Linked DNA regions of Sus scrofa. The protein of the gene in region 2 interacts with the protein of the main gene of each other region in a pairwise test. Links are inferred from orthologs where the notes say so. Each region holds a gene or a part of one and is shown on either strand. Other genes may lie near its edges.

What was found.
Region 1: the proteins of KHDRBS2 (region 2) and CIRBP interact in binary tests that used the Homo sapiens proteins (3 or more experiments, as listed by UniProt). The two-hybrid records come from large-scale screens. The link is inferred for Sus scrofa from reciprocal best matches to the Homo sapiens genes KHDRBS2 and CIRBP.
Region 3: the proteins of KHDRBS2 (region 2) and HBZ interact in binary tests that used the Homo sapiens proteins (3 or more experiments, as listed by UniProt). The two-hybrid records come from large-scale screens. The link is inferred for Sus scrofa from reciprocal best matches to the Homo sapiens genes KHDRBS2 and HBZ.
Region 4: the proteins of KHDRBS2 (region 2) and DOCK2 interact in binary tests that used the Homo sapiens proteins (3 or more experiments, as listed by UniProt). The two-hybrid records come from large-scale screens. The link is inferred for Sus scrofa from reciprocal best matches to the Homo sapiens genes KHDRBS2 and DOCK2.

Annotation. Positions count from the first base shown.
Region 1 is NC_010444.4:77,191,155-77,196,115, reverse strand, and holds the start of CIRBP (cold-inducible RNA-binding protein), read left to right. Parts: upstream 1-1,742; 5' UTR 1,743-1,872; intron 1,873-2,847; exon of another isoform or gene 2,848-2,942; 5' UTR 2,943-2,948; coding exon 2,949-3,051; intron 3,052-3,139; coding exon 3,140-3,246; intron 3,247-3,339; coding exon 3,340-3,478; intron 3,479-3,551; coding exon 3,552-3,633; coding exon of another isoform or gene 3,634-3,637; exon of another isoform or gene 3,638-3,746; coding exon 3,747-3,864; 3' UTR 3,865-4,191; coding exon of another isoform or gene 4,192-4,208; 3' UTR 4,209-4,961. UniProt on the Homo sapiens protein: Cold-inducible mRNA binding protein that plays a protective role in the genotoxic stress response by stabilizing transcripts of genes involved in cell survival. Acts as a translational activator.
Region 2 is NC_010449.5:27,615,667-27,620,097, reverse strand, and holds part of KHDRBS2 (KH domain-containing, RNA-binding, signal transduction-associated protein 2), read left to right. Parts: intron 1-2,183; coding exon 2,184-2,330; intron 2,331-4,431. UniProt on the Homo sapiens protein: RNA-binding protein that plays a role in the regulation of alternative splicing and influences mRNA splice site selection and exon inclusion. Binds both poly(A) and poly(U) homopolymers. Phosphorylation by PTK6 inhibits its RNA-binding ability.
Region 3 is NC_010445.4:41,489,839-41,494,698, reverse strand, and holds HBZ (hemoglobin subunit zeta), read left to right. Parts: upstream 1-1,815; 5' UTR 1,816-2,777; coding exon 2,778-2,872; intron 2,873-3,425; coding exon 3,426-3,630; intron 3,631-3,711; coding exon 3,712-3,840; 3' UTR 3,841-3,941; downstream 3,942-4,860. Other genes in the region: HBM (hemoglobin subunit mu), read left to right, coding at 4,634-4,725. UniProt on the Homo sapiens protein: The zeta chain is an alpha-type chain of mammalian embryonic hemoglobin.
Region 4 is NC_010458.4:54,245,490-54,250,690, reverse strand, and holds the start of DOCK2 (dedicator of cytokinesis protein 2), read left to right. Parts: upstream 1-1,982; 5' UTR 1,983-2,228; coding exon 2,229-2,271; intron 2,272-5,201. UniProt on the Homo sapiens protein: Involved in cytoskeletal rearrangements required for lymphocyte migration in response of chemokines. Activates RAC1 and RAC2, but not CDC42, by functioning as a guanine nucleotide exchange factor (GEF), which exchanges bound GDP for free GTP.

The sequences.
Region 1 (4,961 bases), on a different chromosome or scaffold from region 2:
CTCCTGGGCTGGGCATACCCGGCCCCAGGCCCTCCCATGGCTGCCGGCAGCAGGAGGGGGAGCTAACTGTTGATTCTGCTCCCTTTAATAACCATCCTGCGTGTGTGGCTGACGCAGCAGCAGGCTGCTGCTGACGGAGAGTTGTATGGGGGGAGCTGTGGCATGGGGGAGGAGGTGCAGAGACAAGGCTGCCATGAGTCATGAGCTGCTGCCTGGGGAAGGGGATCCTGAGCCAAGGAGGTGTCCCAACGATCCTGTTACAGGAGTCAGCGTCCATGCTCAGGTCCCTACTGCATCAGCTAGATCCAGAGCCAGACTCTGTCACTATGGTGTGACAGAGTCTGGCTCCTGGAGTGGGACTGGAACTTTTCTGGGGCAGGCAGCAAAGCAAAGCATGGGTCTCTGCTCTAAAATCCCCCTGTTTTTATGCAGAGGGTCTGCCCTTTTAAGACTTTCTAGGGATATAGCTTGGGCCTCTGGTCTGGGCAGGCAGGGGTCTACACTAGCATTTTGTTGTTGTTAATTTTATGCCTGCACCAGCAGCAGATGGAATTTCCTCAGCCAGGGATTGAATACCTGCCACAGCTGCAACAGTGCCAGATCCTTAACCCACTGCACCAGGCAGGAGATGAAACCCTCGCCTCAGCAGGCAACTCGCTACCCTTAAGCAGCTGTGCAAGCTTTTTCCACCCCATGGAGGGTTCTGCGACACAGAAGGTAGTGTAACCAAGGCCTGGGCAGGGTGAAAGTGGTGGCCGTGAGAGGGGCTCCCATAAAGAGGGCATGGGGATCCAGAGGAGCAGCCCTGGGGGTAAAGATCCCTGCAAACCTGGTTCTCCTGTTGCAGAGGCCTCCGGATTCGGACTTTCATACAGGAAAAAGATTCAGGGGGAGGAGCCAAGGGAGTGCAGAATAGTGTTGGGGGGGGTGCTGGAGCACGTGATTAAGGGGAGGCGGGGGCTGAGCTGAATGTTGAGGTCCAGTGGGACTCAGGGCTGCGCCCAATTGTGGGTTTGAGAGGCCAGGACAAGGTCAGCCAGCCATCTAGTGCTGGGATGCACAAAAGGGTCTGGCCAGCTGACTGGGGGTGTGGGCGTTGCACTAGACGGAGTGAAGTCAGGATGCAAGTTGGGATTTGTAGGCAAACTGGGTTGGGTGAAATTGGGGTACCCCAAAGTTGTAAAGTAGGAAGAATGGGATCATGACGAATATTTTTGGGAGGGCTTTGGGGCCAGTCACGTTAAGCGGGACATTCAGGAGCATTGGGTTCTGGGCACTCTGGGGTGTCGGTTACACGTTGGCAAATATATAAGAACTGATGTCAGGATTCATCAGTTGGGGTGTCTGAGAGCTGATCCTCAGGTGCGTATGGGGATCTGGCTGAGGTCCTATGTGGGCGATTATTGGAGCACTGCAAAGGACGGGGTTGCAGCGGCCAGGGAGCTTTCCCAGGAGGAAGCAGCAGCCTGAACCCCTTTTGTTCCCCGCCGCAGGCCAGGGACTGGCACGCGGAAGTGGGTCAGCTCCGCCCAGCAGCGCGCTGGCCCCGCCCCCCGTCATGGTCTGGAGACTGCAGACCATGCGCATCCCCGCCAGGCACTTTGACCCCCGCCAGCACGCGGGAGGGGGCGGGGTCGGCACAGGCCCAGCCCCCCAACTCATAAATGTGAGGCACAGCCACGCCCTCAGGGGCCCTGGATTGGCCGACTCGGGGAGGGGGGGATGGGGGCGGGCTTAGGGGGGGCGGGTCCCAGCGGCAGCGTACAAAAGGCCGTACCCGGAAACTGCCCCCCCTCATTCGCGCGTTAGAAGGCTCAGGCCGTTGTGCTGTGCTGTCTTCCCGCCTGCGCCAGGGACCTGCCCAACTCAGTGGTGAGGGCCCTGGCGGTACCGGCTCCGCGGGCCCGGGGCGGCGGGCGGCCAAGGCGGGCCGGCCAAGGCGGGGCGGTGGCAGCACGCCCCTGGGCGGGGGGCGGTACCGGGGCGGGTCCGGGGTGGAGTCCGCTCCGCCGGCGGAGAGGGGTTGCGGAGACCGGGCCGTGCCGCGGCCGGAGGACGTCCTCCGCGGGCTAGAGCGCCGCGAGCGGGTCACCGCCGTAAAATGGCGGCCGCGAGAGCGAGGCTGCGCCCAGCGAAATGGCGGGAGCCCCGGGTACCCGGATGGAGTGGCGCAAGCCGCAGGCGGGGCGCATGCGCGGGGGCGGGGCCGGGGCTACTCCCCTCTTTCCTGTTGGAGTTGTGTGAGGGCGGCACATCATGGGTGCCGCCCACTCTCCGATCCCCAGGTTTGGGCCCAAACTTGCAAGGGGTTGCAAGGCTGCGGGTCGTCTTCAGGCCTGGTTTTGGAGTCATTCAGCGCAGGCCCCTTTCCTGTAAAGGGTCGCTTTAAGTCAGCACCTCCCCACATCCCGCTCCTTTTTAACATCATAGCACCCTACAGTAGACCAAGCACTTTGCCGCCCCTGTATAATAGAGAGGGTTAGAAGTTAGCTCCCTCCCCACCCCCCGACATGTTAGCAAAAGACAGAAGCCAGTGTGCACTCAGCCGGTGGCAGTGGAGATTGATGCCTTCCTTCATTGTCCAGCCCTAAACGTCCTGAGAGGGTGTCAGCGTAGCTGGAGTTTTGGGGTCCCAAATCCAGGCAGCACTGAAGAGTGCTTGCTGCAGAACCGCGGTCTGGCCCTAGCCTTCCGGGAGCCCCCAATTTCGGGAGTGGAGTTGGCCCAAGCACAGAAAAGGGGCAAGGGGGAGTGATAAAGGAATCAAGGGCTTGTTTGAATTAAGCCCTAGGTATGAGCTTGGGATGGTTAAAGGGCACAAAAGCAATTTTCCAATGTTTGTCCCAGGAGCGTGTGTTATTTGTCTAAAGTAAAAAACGGCGAGGGGGTGATTCTCCCGGCCCCTGCAGGACCTCTGAGGATTTCAGTGGTGTTTGCCACAGGTGACCATGGCATCAGACGAGGGCAAACTTTTCGTTGGAGGGCTGAGCTTTGACACCAATGAGCAGTCGCTGGAGCAGGTCTTCTCAAAATATGGGCAGATCTCAGAAGGTGAGGCTGGTTCCAGATTGGCTGGCAGCTGAGCAAGGCCGCTCACAGGGAGAGCTGGGTACTGACCTCAGACCTCTCCCTTGCACAGTGGTAGTAGTGAAGGACAGGGAGACCCAGCGATCGAGGGGCTTTGGGTTTGTCACCTTTGAGAACATTGATGACGCCAAGGACGCTATGATGGCCATGAACGGGAAGGTGAGAGGCGGCTGTCCTGGGGTCTAGAAGGTCCGGGCTGCAACCTGAGTGCAGGAGGTGCGGGGGCTAACCATATCGACTTCTGGTCTCCAGTCTGTGGATGGGCGGCAGATCCGGGTTGACCAGGCCGGGAAGTCATCTGATAACCGATCCCGTGGGTACCGAGGTGGCTCCTCGGGGGGCCGGGGCTTCTTCCGTGGGGGCCGAGGCCGGGGCCGTGGGTTCTCCAGAGGTGAGTGCCACTTGCAGGGAAGAGGTGGGGGCACTGCTTCAAGAGCTGACACTCACTTCTTGTCTCTGTATAGGAGGAGGGGATCGAGGCTATGGTGGTAGCCGGTTCGAGTCCAGGAGTGGGGGCTATGGCGGCTCCAGGGACTACTACAGCAGGTGAGGGTGGTGGGCCCATCTAGGGGCCAAGGGTGTCTGCCTGGATGCTGGCATGTGGGCTGCTCTAAGTAGCCTAAGGTACCGTCCAGCGCCCACCCATGTCCTTCCTACAGCCGGAGTCAGGGTGGCAGCTATGGTGACCGGAGCTCAGGCGGGTCCTACAGAGACAGCTACGACAGTTACGGTAAGTGGCGCTCTGAGGGCCTGCAGTGGGAGCACAGTGAGCCTTAGTGCCCTTTGTGGGCAGCGCTCAGACCTGCTCACTGCTTGCCCACAAGGTCCAAGACTGCCCTCCTGGGTCTTGGTGCCAGCAGCCATTTCTACCACAAACATAATCGTGAAACTAGATTGACCAAGAAGGAAAGGGAGAGCGAGGGCCCACGGAGCAGGCAGCATAAGTGCATGTGGGCCTGCCGTCGCCCGCCACCCTCGGCCGTGGGGGGGTTGGTTGCCCCCGAGGCCGCAGGGCTGAGCCCCCAGGTCTGGGCCCGGGCGTGGAATGCTGCGTCCTGTCGCGTGCTTCAGTGCCTTTACACTGTGCCTGCTTCTTCTTCTCAGCTACACACAACGAGTAAAAATCCTGCTCAAGATCGTCCTTCCAATGGCTGTATATTTAAAGATTTTGGGAGCTCCGCTGAATCGTTAATGTGTAGTGAATCCACCTCCTTGTACCCACTTTTGTAGTCTTATCAGTTCCTATCTTGTCAAACACAGCCTGACTGCTTCTGACCCCAGATGGCCTCATTATTACACTTTTCTTTTTAAAGAAGTGCCATCTGTTTTTGAGGATTTTGAACATGTTTTGCAAAGCACTTCAGGTTTTACTTTTTATCGTGAGCCATGAGCTTTTTAGAAAAATCATTGAGGGTTGCGAGAGTTTGAGTTTGGGTTGTGTTGCCTTTTTTCTCTTTTTCGTGGGGTCGGCCCCAAGTAGTTAGGGGCCCCGAGTCACTTGTCTTTTGAGTCTGAACGGACTCTGAATCCGCTCTTTGTCGGAAGCTGAGCACACTGTGGCTTTTTTTCAGCTCCGTGTAATGTTCCTGAGCGTAGCATGGTATGGTAGGACCGGGTGGCGGCAGAGGTGCCCGGCTGCCTGGCCCCACCGCCCCTCTGTACTGTATCATCCACGGTAGACTTGCAGACGTCCCAAGAGTTTCTTGAAAATGTTTATTTATATTGTCTTTTTTTTTACTGGAAGACGTGTGCATATGTCATCGATGTTGTATTTGAAGTGGCTAAGGAATTCTTGTATGCAGTTTTCTTTGGCTTCACGAAGCCGATTAAAAGCCCGTCTGAATGAACCTGCTCTGACCATCTCCCTTTGATCA
Region 2 (4,431 bases):
ACCAGTGGTAGCTCACGATTGGGTCCCCTGTGCTAACTTTCATTCTTTGACATCCTTATCAGTGTTTTCACCCACTTTATTGAGTCCTGGCTGGAATCTTGATGCACACTTGACCCTCAGGAAGTTGATTCATCTCTGAGGACCTCATTCCTCATGTGTTTCTATAAAGTGTGATGGGGGCGCATCGGGGAAGAGGGAAATGTCTTTTTCAATAGAAAGTTGCATTTTTCTTCATGAGCATCAGCCTATCGGCTCTACTGCAGAGATCTAACCAGGCTTATTTTGAGAGGCTGAAATAAGTGTTACAATTCTTATCTCAATGCCACATCTCACAGTGGCGGACCTTATGAAATGCGGCAAGCAGATAGCCCTTCTAACTAGCAGAAAATCAGCTGTGGGAGTATTGAGGCGTGTTGGCACCATCTGATTTAAATTCCTCAGCACTTACATGTAAGCAAAGCAGACTCCTGAGTTGAAAGGCATCTTGCATCCCTGGAGAAGCAAGAAAGAAGGAACGTTAGCTCCACCCACAGGTGCAGATTTGCTGAGTCGAGCTCTGCTTCCCCTATCTGAGAATTGAGCACTAAGAAAAACCTTTTTAATAAAAGTCAAAACTCCTAGTTAGAGAACAATGCTTAGGGAAGTGAAGGTGAATTTCTAGGCTGAAAGGTATTGCTGTTAGAGAGATCTGAGTAGGCGAAGGTTCTGAGGAAAGTGGCTTCCACCTCTGTTATGGATCCTCCATGCGTGGAAATGATGGGCATTTTTAATCAGATAAACCCGTTAACATGGGTCATACAGTTCCTCATATGAAATCAGTAGCAAATTTGCTTTTGTTTATCTAGTTTAGGTGTATTCACATCGCTTTTCTAATTTAACCCACACGTACAACTAAAAAAAAAAAAAAAATGTTTTTTAAAGTTCTACCCTTTGAAATTTACTGCTAGTTTGAGGGGAGAAGAGTTAAGAAAGGTAAAATATAATTAATATTATTTATGTTCTTTTTTTAGAACCACACCCATAGCATATGGAAGTTTCCAGGCTAGGGGTCAAATTGGAGCTTCAGCTGCCAGCCTATGCCACAGCAACACCAGACCTGAGCCGCATCCGTGACCTACACCACAGCTTAACGGCAACGCTGGATCCTTAACCCACTGAGCGAGGCCAGGAGTTGAACCCACATCCTCATGGATACTAGTCGGGTTCTTTACCACTGAACCACAATGGAAACTCCCTCTTTAAGTACATTTTTAACCACATTTTGTTTCTTTGAAATCCTAAAAAAATGCAAATCTCGTTGAAAACTGAGCTTGAGTCCCAATTTTGCGCAAGTTCACTAAAGTCTTTTAAACTCAATTTTCTCAATATTTCCTAATGTGAAATATGTGAACATTGTGTGAGGTGGTTGTGAGTTTAGCAATGACATGTGTTAAAGACCTAGCACACATTAGCACAGTGCATGGATCGTGTGCTGATTTGCTCTGCAGATTACTAAATTAACCAGTAACAACTTAGATAAAGGATGACAGAATCTGCTCCAAGAGAAATCCATTGTCAAGTTAAGCTGCAGGTGTGTAACTCATGCAGAATCAAGGCCAACAGAATGCTTAACCACCAACCCTTTAATGTGCTCCTCCGTCTTGACCAGGGGGAGGTGACAAAGGATAGCGAGATGCTGGGTAGAAGCCAGATGAGAATCTGGGCCAGTGGGAACTGGGCTGGGGAGGAAGCCTTGGGTCTGCTCATGTTCATGAGGAGCAAGTAACCTTTCACCACTTCTCCAAAAGTATCTAGAAGATCCTGGTTTTCTTAAAGAACAGTGGTCACCTGGAGTTTATCTGCAAGTGATTATTTGTCAGGCACAAAAATAATCCTTTTCTTCCTGTGGTGTACAGTGAAGAGTTAATGGCATTTCTGTAACTTCTTTTCAGACTTAGCATTTTCATTTAGCTGATTAAAATGTGGTGTAGATGATAATTATGCCAAGTTTTTTTTTTAATCATTCAAACACTCAGAAATGATTTTAAAAATCTTTAAATGGCTTGTACCAGATTTTCATTTCCCAAAGGATTTCTAGTTAGGGAAAATTTGCTTAGATTATGCCCTTTTGTCATCTTTTCAGTAAATGTTAAATCAATGCAAAATGAGTAGATTTGTATTTCTAAAAATAACCTCTTTCACAGGAAGAAGAACTAAGGAAGAGTGGAGAAGCCAAATATGCCCACTTGAGCGATGAACTTCATGTATTAATTGAAGTTTTCGCTCCACCTGGGGAAGCTTATTCACGTATGAGTCATGCACTGGAAGAGATTAAAAAATTCCTGGTTCCTGTAAGTGTTTTTCATTTTTTACAAAGATGTTTCTTATGAGTTTCTATTATAAAATGTGCCTTTGATCTTCACTGACTTTTTAGATGGAAATTTATGCTGCAGACTTCTTCTTTATAGAGTTGATATGAAGGTAAAAATAAAAAAGAATACCAAAACACTCAGCACAGGACCTGACATGTTGCCACATAATGACGGTTTGGCAGCAGTATTTGTCTCAACTGCATTCTGTGCCCTGCGCTGTTCATGGCCATGAAGAATAAGAATAAGAGAGTTAACACATAAACACAAATATGTAACTGAAGTTGCGTACCTTTCTCTTGTGTCTAATGACTTGGTAGTTGACACATATTATTCATAATTTTTAATAGAGAAATATTTTCAGGTACAGTGGGAGGGAAAAGAGATTGGATGTGTAATATTTGTAACAAGACGATGTGTTGTTTGAAACTATCAAATGTGCTTTTATGTCATAGTATGCCAGGTGCTGGCTCATTATAAAATATAATATAAAATACCAATATTAATAGAATTGGACATTTGTTGACGTCATGCAAAAAATTGGAAAAATGAACTCATTGTGCTAAATGAGAGAAGCAGAGAATGTTCATTTAGTAAGGCAGCAAATTCAGGGATGCACACTGAATAGAATTCTCTACTGATTTTCTAAGAAATAGAAGAACGAAGCTTTCCTAAAGGTTGACAATTTCGCATTCTAGGAAGAGGTTGTTTAAATAGAAATCTTGGCACCAGGCTTAGAGCTGGGAATAAGATAATTGGAAGAGAATGCTGAGTACGGTTTTTGGGAGTGCTCTGGCAGACCAGGTCCTCAGCAGAGAAAGAGAATAGCTAAGCTTAATCCGTGTGATGAAGAAACACTGCAGTTTTCTAAACTAATTAATGAGCTCAGAGGAAGTCATGAATCTTACAGTTCATTGGTTGGCCCGTGATTTGAGAATGGGGAAATAAACGAAAAAAACAGAATTCCAGAATGGAAAAGTGTCAAAATCAAACAACGTAATCTATGTGTAGGCCCAGTTTAAAATTCTTCTGTCAGGAAAAGGTTATAGAATAACCCCATACTGCTCTGATTATTCCATAACTTTATCTGCACACCTTATTATCTAGTGTAGTTTGAATACCTCTCTAAATAGACCCTGTATTTCTTAAGAATGAAGATCCTGTGTTCTCTACACGTTGATGCTGTTGGTTACACATTTGTACTGTATTTAGCTCAGACCAGACCTCTGATGATATAGGTATTATAGGAAAAAGCTACACCGTCTAGACTAGTAACTCATTTTGTGCCTGTAGACGAGTCAGTTAAATTCTCAGAACTTCAGCTGGATTCCCTGATGGCTCAGTGGGTTAAGGATCTGCTGGGGTCACTGCTGTGCCACAGGTTGCTGCTGTGGCAGCTTCCATCCCAGGCCCAGGAACTTGTGCATGCTGCCAGTGCAGCCAATTAAAAAAAAAAAATTAGCTGATTCATCTTTACAAAGAAGCTAAGGAGATAATAATAACTGAAGGGCTTCTGTCATAGTTATTGTGACTATTAAATGGGGTAATGCATATAAAAAGGCATAGAAAATTGTAAAGCACTATATAAATTGATGTTTTAAATCTTTTTTATTATTACAAGTAGATAAAAACCATCTTGGAATGATGGAGGTGAACTGTATAAGAGAAAATCCTATTTCATTGCTACCCAGATTTGAGACATAGGCTGTAGGCTAGGTTAACCCTACTTTATTATAAATCCCAGTAGTATATCTCACTTACTCTCTTCTTAGACCTCTTGATACTTGTAATAATTTCCTTATGAAATATATACTCCACGAGACAGGGCTGGCAGCCTGGCACCGTGTTTGATAGCCTGATTGAGGGACTGGCTCATTAATTGGTACTGGGCATGATGCAGAGGGTTCATAGCCACCTGGTGAGGTCTGGGAAACTCTCCAGGGTGCTCTCCCTATAAAGATCCAGATGAAGACTGAAACCCCCACTCTAGCTGGCGTGACCTGCTCCTGCAGCCCCTCCGGTTACCGCTGCCCCAGCTGCCCCCTCCCTGTGCAGCCCCACCTCCCAGGTTCACCCTTCACTA
Region 3 (4,860 bases), on a different chromosome or scaffold from region 2:
TGTCAGTCACTAACGTGTGAAAATAGTGACAACGTGCAGGGCCACTAGGACTTTCAACTAGGACTTTCCCTCACAGCCGAGTGGAAGGCAAAACGATAAAGCCCACTTCTTGTGTGTGTGTGTTGTGTGTGTGTTTTGTTTTGGGTTTGTTTTGTTTTGTTTTTTTGCTTTTTTAGGGCTGCACCTGCAGCATACGGAGGTTCCCAGGCTAGGGGTCAAATTGGAGCTACAGCCGCCGGTCTACACCATAGCCACAGCAACTCGGGATCTGACACGTGTCTGCGACCTACCGCGCAGCCTCACGGCAATGCCGGATACTTAACCCACTGAGCGAGGCCAGGGACCGAACCCGCAATCTCATCGTTCCTAGTCAGATTCATTTCAGCTGCGCCACGACAGGACCTGCAAAGCCAACTTCTTATAAAGTCAAACATACACTCAGCCCATGAACCCACAATCCTACTCTTACATACGGTATTTATCCCAGAGCATTAAAAATGTATGTTCACATCAAGACCTGCACAAGAATGCTCACGGCAGCGCTGTTGGTAGCAGCGCCGAAGTGGGACAGTGGGGGTCCGAGTGGGAGTCAGAGGTGCACGAACACCGACACGGCGGGTATCCACTTTGCAATGGAAAGAAACCAGCTACCAACGCAATGCAACGGCAGGCACAGATCTCAAGGGGACCAGGCCAAGTAAAAGGAGCCAGTCCTTTAGGGCGGAGTGCTGTGCAGTTCCCATCATGCTCAGCTGAAACAAATCTGACTAGCATCCCTGGGGACGCAGGTTTGATCTGTGGCTTCACTCAGTGGGTTAAGGATCTGGCGTTGCCGTGAGCTGTGGTGCAGGTCACAGATGGGTTCAGATCTGGTGTTGCTGTGGCTGTGGCGTAGGCCAGTGGCTATAGCTCCAGTTTGACCCCTAGCCGGGGAACTTCCATATGCCGTGGGTACACCCCTAAAAAGACAAAAAAAGAAAAAAGAAAAAAAAGGCACAGTGCTGTATGATCCCACTTACAGGATGTTCTTGACAAAATTTTTTTTTTTTAATTTTTATTTATTTATTTTTGTCTTTTTGCTATTTCTTTGGGCCGCTTCCGTGGCATATGGAGGTTCCCAGGCTAGGGGTCGAATCGGAGCTGTGGCCCCCGGCCTACGCCAGAGCCACAGCAACGAGGGATCCGAGCCGCATCTGCAACCTACACCACAGCTCACGGCAACGCCGGATCGTTAACCCACTGAGCAAGGGCAGGGACCGAACCCGCAACCTCATGGTTCCTAGTCGGATTCGTTAACCACTGCGCCACGACGGGAACTCCAAATTTTTTTTTTTCTTTTTTGGTCTTTTCGCCATTTCTTGGGCCGCTCCCGCGGCATATGGAAGTTCCCAGGCTAGGGGTCAAATCGGAGCTGTAGCCTCCAGCCTACGCCAGAGCCAGAGCAACGCGGGATCCGAGCCGCGTCTGCAACCTACACCACAGCTCACGGCAATGCTGGATCCTTAACCCACTGAGCAAGGGCAGGGACCAAACCCGTAACCTCATGGTTCCTAGTCGGATTCGTTAACCACTGCGCCACAACAGGAACTTCAAAATTTTATTTTATTATCTTATTTTTTTTGTCTTTTTGCCATTTCTTGGGCCGCTCCCTCAGCATATGGAGATTCCCAGGCTAGGGGTCGAATCAGAGCTGTAGCCGCTGGCCTAGGCCAGAGCCAGAGCAACTCGGGATCCGAGCTGTGTCTGCAATCAACACCACAGCTCACGGCAGTGCTGGATCCTTAACCCACTGAGCAAGGCCGGGGATCGAACCTGCAACCTCATGGTTCCTGGTCGGATTCGTTAACCACTGAGCCACGATGGGAACTCCTTTACAAAATTTTAGTGGCTGCCAGAGTTTAGGGGATAGAGGAGGGTGAAACTGCAAAGGGGCAGCATAGGGAGCTCGTGGGGTGATGGAGCTGTTGTGTGTCCTAATTTCTGTGGGGTTACACACATCTATACACATGTCAAAATTCACAAAGCAGTGCACTAAAAAAAGTCCATTGTATGTGTGCTGAGATAAAATTAGCAGGCATACTGCCTCATTGCAATTATTATTGCTATTATGGTTGGATTTTTTTCAGGTTTTAGTTCCACATTTTATCTCAACTGCCTCGTTATGCTTAAATTATGATGTGACGAGCAACACTGCAGGCCCCAAAAGCACGAACTAGAAGGATCCTCCTTTATTGACCTACCACCTCCTCCAGCTTTTAGGGAAGAGACCCAGTCAGCACCTCCCTCCTCAGGGCCCGCTGGGCAAAACTACTGCTTTCTTAGAGGAAGCACAGGGATCCCAGAGCCAGGAGCAGGCGCTGGCAGGTGACCTTTGGGTCTGCCCATGGTGATGCAGGCGGCACAGGCACAGGCCAGGCGACCAGGGTGTGCTGGCCCTGCTCCTGTGGCTTCTCCCCCTTTGTGATTCTGAACCGCACAGGACAGCGCAGAGCTGGGCTGCAGATGCAGGATGACCTTCTGGGCTGGCTGGGCCCCTATCTCCCCTCGAGTCTGGTCAGGCTGTGGCCACCGCCCCCTCTAAGGCCCAGCAGGGGTGGCCAGCATGATAGCCCCTCACCCCAGGGTCACTGCCTCTGATAAGAGCCCCCTCCCCTCTCCCAGCCCCTGACCACCGCCTGGCCCCCACCCTGGCTGCCCGTATATAAGGGGACCACGGGGGCCCAGCACCACCGACGCCAGCTCTCAGCGCGCCCAGCTCCAGACCCGCCGCTGCCACCATGTCTCTGACCAAGGCCGAGAGGACAATTATCACGTCCATGTGGGGCAAGATCTCCAGCCAGGCGGACACCATCGGCACGGAGACCCTGGAGAGGTGAGCGCCAGCGGGGCCGGCGCGGAGCCTGGGAGGAGGTGACAGCGCGGTCACCGAGGTCAGGGGTCAGTGAGCAGGGCCAGGGAGCACAGGGGCGAGGAACGAGGGCCAGGGAGGACAGGGGCCAGGGAGCAGCGACAGCATGAGCAGCGGCGAGGAGGGTGGACGCGGCCAGAGAATTGGGAGAGGGGTCGAAGGCGGAGGGGGGACGAGCGTAGGACCCTGACTCTCCCCTCCCCGCCGCCCCCCGCCCGGCACGCGGGTCTCCGCAAGCAGCTGACCCAACGAGTGAGTGAAGGAACGAATGCGTGAGTGAAGGAACGAATGAGAGAGCGAGCGAGCGCGCCCACCCGCCCAGGTCTGGACCCCAGGGCAGGGAGGGCGAGCAGGCGCCGGGCTGCACGCAGCCAGGGGCGGCCCGCACGGCCCGCACGGCCGACACTGTCCTCATTGAACACTCGACGTTCTGGGCACCGGGCCGCTGACCAGGCCCGCGCCGAAGCGTGCGAGCCGCGGGCGTCGGCCTCACGCCCGCTCCCGGCGGGCGCCGCAGGCTCTTCGCCAGCTACCCCCAGGCCAAGACCTACTTCCCGCACTTCGACCTGAACCCGGGCTCGGCGCAGCTGCGCGCGCACGGCTCCAAGGTGCTGGCGGCCGTGGGCGAAGCGGTCAAGAGCATCGACAATGTGTCGGCCGCCCTGGCCAAGCTGAGCGAGCTGCACGCCTACGTGCTGCGCGTCGACCCGGTCAACTTCAAGGTGGGCGCGGGCGGGGGCGGGGCGTGGTCTGCCGCAGGCCCCGCCCCTCCCTGGCTGAACACCGCCCCCCCCCGCCCCCAGTTCCTGTCCCACTGCCTGCTGGTCACCTTGGCTTCGCACTTCCCCGCCGACCTAACGGCCGAAGCCCACGCCGCCTGGGACAAGTTCCTGACCATCGTGTCCGGCGTCCTGACCGAGAAGTACCGCTGAGGCCGCCGCCAGTCCCCCCAGACACGCTGTGACCCCTCCCTTTCCCTGGAGCCCTCCCACGTTTTCACCCGGGACTCTCAAATAAACGAATGGAGACCGAGGTAGCCTGGTCCTGCGTCCTTGGTATTGGGGGAAGGAAAGGAGAATGCGAGGGAGCAAAGGGGGCTTCGCCCGAATGCGGATGTCCCTGCTGTTACCCCCGGCCTGGAGGCCACTCCAAGGGTGCTTCAGGCGTCCTTGGTCCTGCGGGACCCAGAGTCGCAGCGGGAGGGGGCAGAGTAGCCCAGGACCGCCTACTCTGCTTCCTCAGGTCAAACCTGCGTGCGAGAAACTCTCCCGCCTCTCAAGTCGCCCAGCCCAGTCTGTGGCTTCGCTCAGCGCACTGGGTACGCGCTGAGACTCAGGGCACTTTCCTCAATGCTTATGGTCATCGGTCACGCGCTGCGGGGACCCTTGATACCTCCTGGCCACCTTGGCCCGCGATCTTTCTCCCATCCCTCCAGCGGCTCCCTCAGGAGGAGCAGCCACTTTGCTCGGATCCCCCAAAACTCTGCAGCTAAGCACCCCCACCCCGCCACGGCGTGATTCCATGCCGGTGACCGGGATCTCCACCGCCGAGGCCCCCGCGGCCACGGCGGGGTCCTGGGCCAGTGGTGTTTCCCCACGCCGGCCCAGGGTCTCCCAGTGCCCGCCGCGCTGCGGCAGATAAGGGCGGGCGGGGCACCGGGAGGGGGTGCTGTATAAGGAGGCCGGGGAGGCGGGCGCGGCCCCGACTGCGCCCCAGGCCAGCGTCATGCTTAGCGCCCAAGAGCGCGTCCACATAGCACAGGTCTGGGACCTGATCGCCGGCCACGAGGCGCCCTTCGGGGCGGAGCTGCTGCTCAGGTGGGCTGGGGAGGAGTCTCCAGGATCACAGCGAGGCGGGGACTGGGGTGTTGGGCCTGCGACCGGGGGGGGGCGCTACCGAGGGTTTCCCGGGGTCTGGGCGGCGCAGGCGCCGAAGGGACTGCGCCCCCCACC
Region 4 (5,201 bases), on a different chromosome or scaffold from region 2:
ACACCGTATCTTTAACCCACTGAGCAAAGCCAGGGATTGAATCCACATCCTCCTGGATACTAGTCGGGTTCATTACCACTGAGCCACAACAGGAACTCTGTAAATCATATTTTTAGACTGTTAGGTGTGACATAAATTCCCCAGGCAAACCATGACTTTCTAAGAGATCTCTTTCTGGTAGCTGAGGACAAATACCAGACCACTTCTGGGGCAAGATTAATTCTTTGCTATATACCACCTATGGTAAAAGACATTTTCAGAGATGAAATGTAAAATTTCACTACAGATCAGCATTAAAAGATGAGTATTTGCAATCAGTTTTTGGGCCACACCCACAGCATGCAGAAATTCGTGGGCTGGGGATTGAACTCATGCCACAGCAGTGACAATGTTGTGTCCTTAACCTGCTGCCGCCAGGGAACTCCTGCAAGAGAAAACTAACTTTGAACTCTAATGGAGTAGACTATGACCTCTCCCCCAAATTTATTTTTTTCATTTCTAGCACTGTATCACAGAAGAATAGACCCAGTTATTAATATCAAATTTTGCATTTTATCAATAAAAATTGTGGAAACTTGTTTTCTCTCTTGTTATATAAGTATTTACATAGTATCCTTGATTTTGCCTCTTGGTCTGCAAAGACTGGAAAATCTACCGTCTGATCTTTTACAGAAAAAGTTTACCAACCTCTGATGTTTAGTCTGGTTTGTAAGACTGCTCCAATGGTTAGTTTTATGAATCAACTTGGTGAGACAATAGACCCTAATTAATCAACCGAACACCAATCTCGGTGTTGCTCTGGAGGTGTTTTGTGGATGTAATTAACATCTACAACAGGATGATTTGAAGTGAAGATTCTCCTCAGCAATCTGCGTAGGCAGGATCCAATCAGTTGACAGGCCTCAACTGTGCTTTCCTTGAAAAAGAAGAAATTCTGCCTGTGGACAGCAGCTTCAGCTCCTGCCTGAGAGTTTCCAGCCTATATTTCCTAAAGGCCTGCACCATGTATTTCAGACCTAACCTAGCCAGCTCCACTTTCTCATAAGCCAATTCCTTACAATTTAATCAATCGATCAATAATCAATCCACATACATATCCTGCCATTGTGGTCCTCTGGTGGAATCCTGACTGATTTAACTGCTCTCTATTAAAAAATACTACCCAATTTGTGCTGCTAGAAAACTGAAAAGGGAATAACTTTAGATAAAATGAAATTAATAGTTTGCCATAGCTGCCTGTCAGCTGCAATATTGCCTAATCTATCTTATTAACTCTCTAGTGTCAGGCAGGAAGGGGTAGTGAGGCTTATGAATAAAGAAAATTCAGGAAGACTTTAATTCTGTCTTATCGCTGTGGATCAAAGAGATATTTTTGCTTCTTGATAGAATCTATTCCCAGAACATTTTCTGAGAAATGTCTCCCTTAGCCTAACTCTAGGACTCGTTTCCCAAGGCCCATGATGGCTGGCTGTTAGAGCATCCTGGACTTCTTGTCACTGTTGGTAAATTCTCTGCTTGAATATTTTCAGAGGAGAGTTTCCTGAGCTTTTATCACATTTTCAAATGGGTCTGTGGCACCAAAAGGATAAAACCCACAAGTGACCTCCCCTCCTGGTGGGTATTTAACTCAAATATTAACTATATGCATTATCTCCTCTAATCCTCACAGTAACTGTGTGTGTCACCTGCTGCATGCATTGTCTTCTCAGAGTCTTGCAATAACAAATGAAGTAGGTACCATTATCCCATTTTACAGATGGAAAAATGGAAGCTTAGAAAGATGAAATAATGTCTAGTTGCTTAGCTGTTAAACATCAGAATGTGAGTTTGAACCCATATCTGACACCAAAGCTCCTGCTAGGTGGGGGGAGCTTGATGTAATCACTAGACTCAGTTACCAGGGGACATCCTGCACTTGTGATGATGGCCTGGGTGGCCCCAGATACCTGCTTGGTTTCTGCCAGCTTACCTGGGGAGGAGACAAGTTGGGAGTGGCCCCTAAGCTGTGTGGGGGCCTTTCAGCAGCTAGGCTAGTCTTCTGCAGTGCCTCTGCCCAGAAGGAGGAGGGAGGAAGAGGAGGAGGAGCAGGGTGCCCCAGGGAGGAGAGGGCGGGCCCTGAGAGGGAGTTTGAAAAGAGGAAGGAAGTGGGGCCCGGCAGAGCGCCTAGCCACCCCCTGGCTGCTTCCCCACAGGACGACTCGAGGTGCCTGCAGGCCCCCCGCCCAGCCATGGGCCCCTGGCGCAAAACTGACAAGGAGAGGCATGGCGTGGGTAAGTGTGGGCATGGGGTCCTCAGCAGGGTGAAGGGCAGGTGGCAGGAGAACTGCACGGGAAGATGCTGCGGAGCCAGCGGCGCGGACATGGGCTCACAGCACTGACTCAAAGTTTGAGAGTGCAGAGGCTCCTTTGGCCTGCTGTGGGGCCAGCTGGGCAGGAAAAGGGTGGCAGGGAAGAGGCAGGTGGGCATGCTGCCCAGGAGGCTACACCTGTCTGCTCCCTCCCCTGCCCACCGCAGGGCTTCCCTCTCTCTCTCCAGGGACTTATGCGTTTCCTAGATGGGGACGAGCAAAGCACTTAGCAACCTGGCTCTGGGTGTCAGGCTCATAGCATTCCAGGGAACCCCTCACCCCCTCTGGAGACTGGGACTCTTAGAGGGAGCGTGATTCTCTCTCCCGGCTGGGCCTTGCCTGGCCCCTCATTGCCTCCCTCCACCCCTGTCCAAAGTGACACCCATCTGCCTGCTTCCCCTGCCTGTTCCTCCTGGGTCAGATGACCCCTGATTTGGCAGGGCGTCCAGAGGGCTCTTCAGGCTGGGGGCATAGGGCTGGAGGGCGGGATCCTTCACTCAGCGCCAGAGAGCTTCTGGGGAGGAAGGCTCCAGCCCGTTTATATGGGGACATCCAAGAAGTCAGCCTCAGCAGCTTCAGCCATCTAAGCTCCCAGAGGCCTCTGCCTCAAGCTCAGGGGCGGAAGTGGTGGCTGGGGGAAGGGAGGCTTCAGGTACTGGGACGCTTTCTACTAAGTGGCACCCGTGGTGCAATCCCCATAGATTCACTGTGGTTTTCAAATAAGTGTGAATTTAAAAACCACCCTGTGGCTTGCTACACAGGCAGATATCAGGCACCACCCCCAGAGGTGAGGGTTGAGCCGGTCTGATGTTGGGGGACCCAAGGGCCAAGTGTGATTAGGTGCAGAGAATCCCAAGGGTGCTGCTGGAGAATCCTTGCCCTGGAGGGCTCGACATTTGCTCAGTCACTTACTAGGCTCCAAGAGCTGTGGAGATGCATGCTCCCCATCCAGAGAACAAATGATAATCCATGCCCTCAAGGGGGCTTAGTTTCTCCATCTATGAAGCGGGAAGTTTGAACCAGACTCAGTAACTTTCGAACTTCAAAGCTTCACTAACTGTGACCCTTCCATCTGAGGGTATCAGATTGAAACCCTTCTCAGGGAAGCTGGGGATGGATAAATGGAGCAGGCCACTGTAGGTGGAGGGGCCAGTGTGGTCTAGGACGTGAAAGTGAGACATGAAGGGAAGATCCAGGAAAGAAGAGCGGGCGCTCCTTTGGCCTTGAGCGGGGGTGCATGGGAGGGGTGATTATGCTCGGAGTTAGTTGAAGGCATATTTGTGAAGGACAGACTAAAAAGTTGAGGCTTTTTCCGTGTAGGCAATGAGGAGCCATAGCGGGCTTCTGAGCAGAGGAGGGACATGCGATCTGTACTGAAGCCAGTGTTGGGGGTGCCAGAGTGGCAGGTGAGGGATGGTATTTAGGGCAGTTAATGGGGGAGATTGAGTGTGGTGGAGGGCCCCACCCTCCATCCTTAGGGCTGCAGGCTTTCCTGCTGTGCAGACCCCGTGCCGTGGTGTGCAGATCATGGGCTCTGGTGCCTGCTCTTGGATTCCAGCTTCCAACGTAGGCAGCCCTGTGACCTAAACAAGTTACCTGCTTTCTCCAGGCCTCAGTTTCCTAATCTGTATGGAGGGTAATAACAGCACCTGCTTCCTAGGTGCGGGTGGGAAGATTGAATGTGTTAATTCACAAGAAGTACCTAGCAGGGCAATTGTACAAATCCTCACTGTAATCAATTATGATGTTTAGACTTTGTGCTATGCATGGGGGCCCAGTTCAGAACATGACATTACAGGATGGGGAGGCTTACAAAATGAAGTATGTTCTCACCATCCCTAGCTGTGGAAATCCCACCTGTGTGCTCAGAGAGTAAGAACTCTGTGAGGCCCCAGGCTCAGAGGCTTCTTCTGATGGCACGTCTGACAGTTTTCATGCCTACTGATGAAAATTCTGTTTTGTGGAGGCCAGATCAGAAGGTCTGTGACCCTTTAGAGAGCTGGGAGCCTTTCATAGTTGCCTGCTCATCAAAGGATCTCTTTTTCTCTGCTGATGAATGTCCTTTGAAGACTCTGGGTAGATGGAAGGGAAAAGCTTATGTTAGGACAACAGGGGACTGGATTCACCCAGCGGAAAATACAGTGGCCTGAGCATAAGGAGTCTGGGTTCTAGTTCTGCCGTCATCACTATTTGCAGACAGATCTGTGCTTTATTTTCCTCATCATAAGTCTAGATATTAATTCTTTTCTATTTCAAGGTGTTATTTTATGAAGGGCACTTGAGATGACAAGCCCAGGGCCTTGGAGGAAGGCAAAGTGCTACGTAGAGGATTAGGGGTTCTTGGAAGATCCCTGGAGTCCCAGCAGGCCAGACCTGAGCTTCGCTTTCCCATTTGGTTTCCTCATCAGTTAGTGGAGTCTGTTTGTCTGGGGGCCTGATTTTTCAGGGGACAGCTTCATCAGCATAACTGCTTGTGCTCTCTCTTACTGCCTTGTGGGCAAGCCAGGGCGACCCTCATGTAGATCCCTGGCCAGGTTCTTTTTACATCCTTGTTAGAGACTTAGAATGTGATCCATTAGAGGTCCAGAGAGGACCTTTGGGTAGAAGCAGGTGGGAGTTTCCACAGACAAGACAGTGCAGCTCGGATGTAAGAAAATGCACAGTGTCTGTGCCTCAAGGGAGACGTGAAAAGTTAGATGCTTGGCCTCCACCTGTTTCCTTATCTGTAAAATAGGGGGAATAATGATAACACGGATCTCATGAGATTGTTCGAAGAATTAAATGGGGATTGAATGTGTGAAAAGCACTTAGTAATGAGATGGGGTCAATGACAGCCACTGAGGTCAAGGGGGT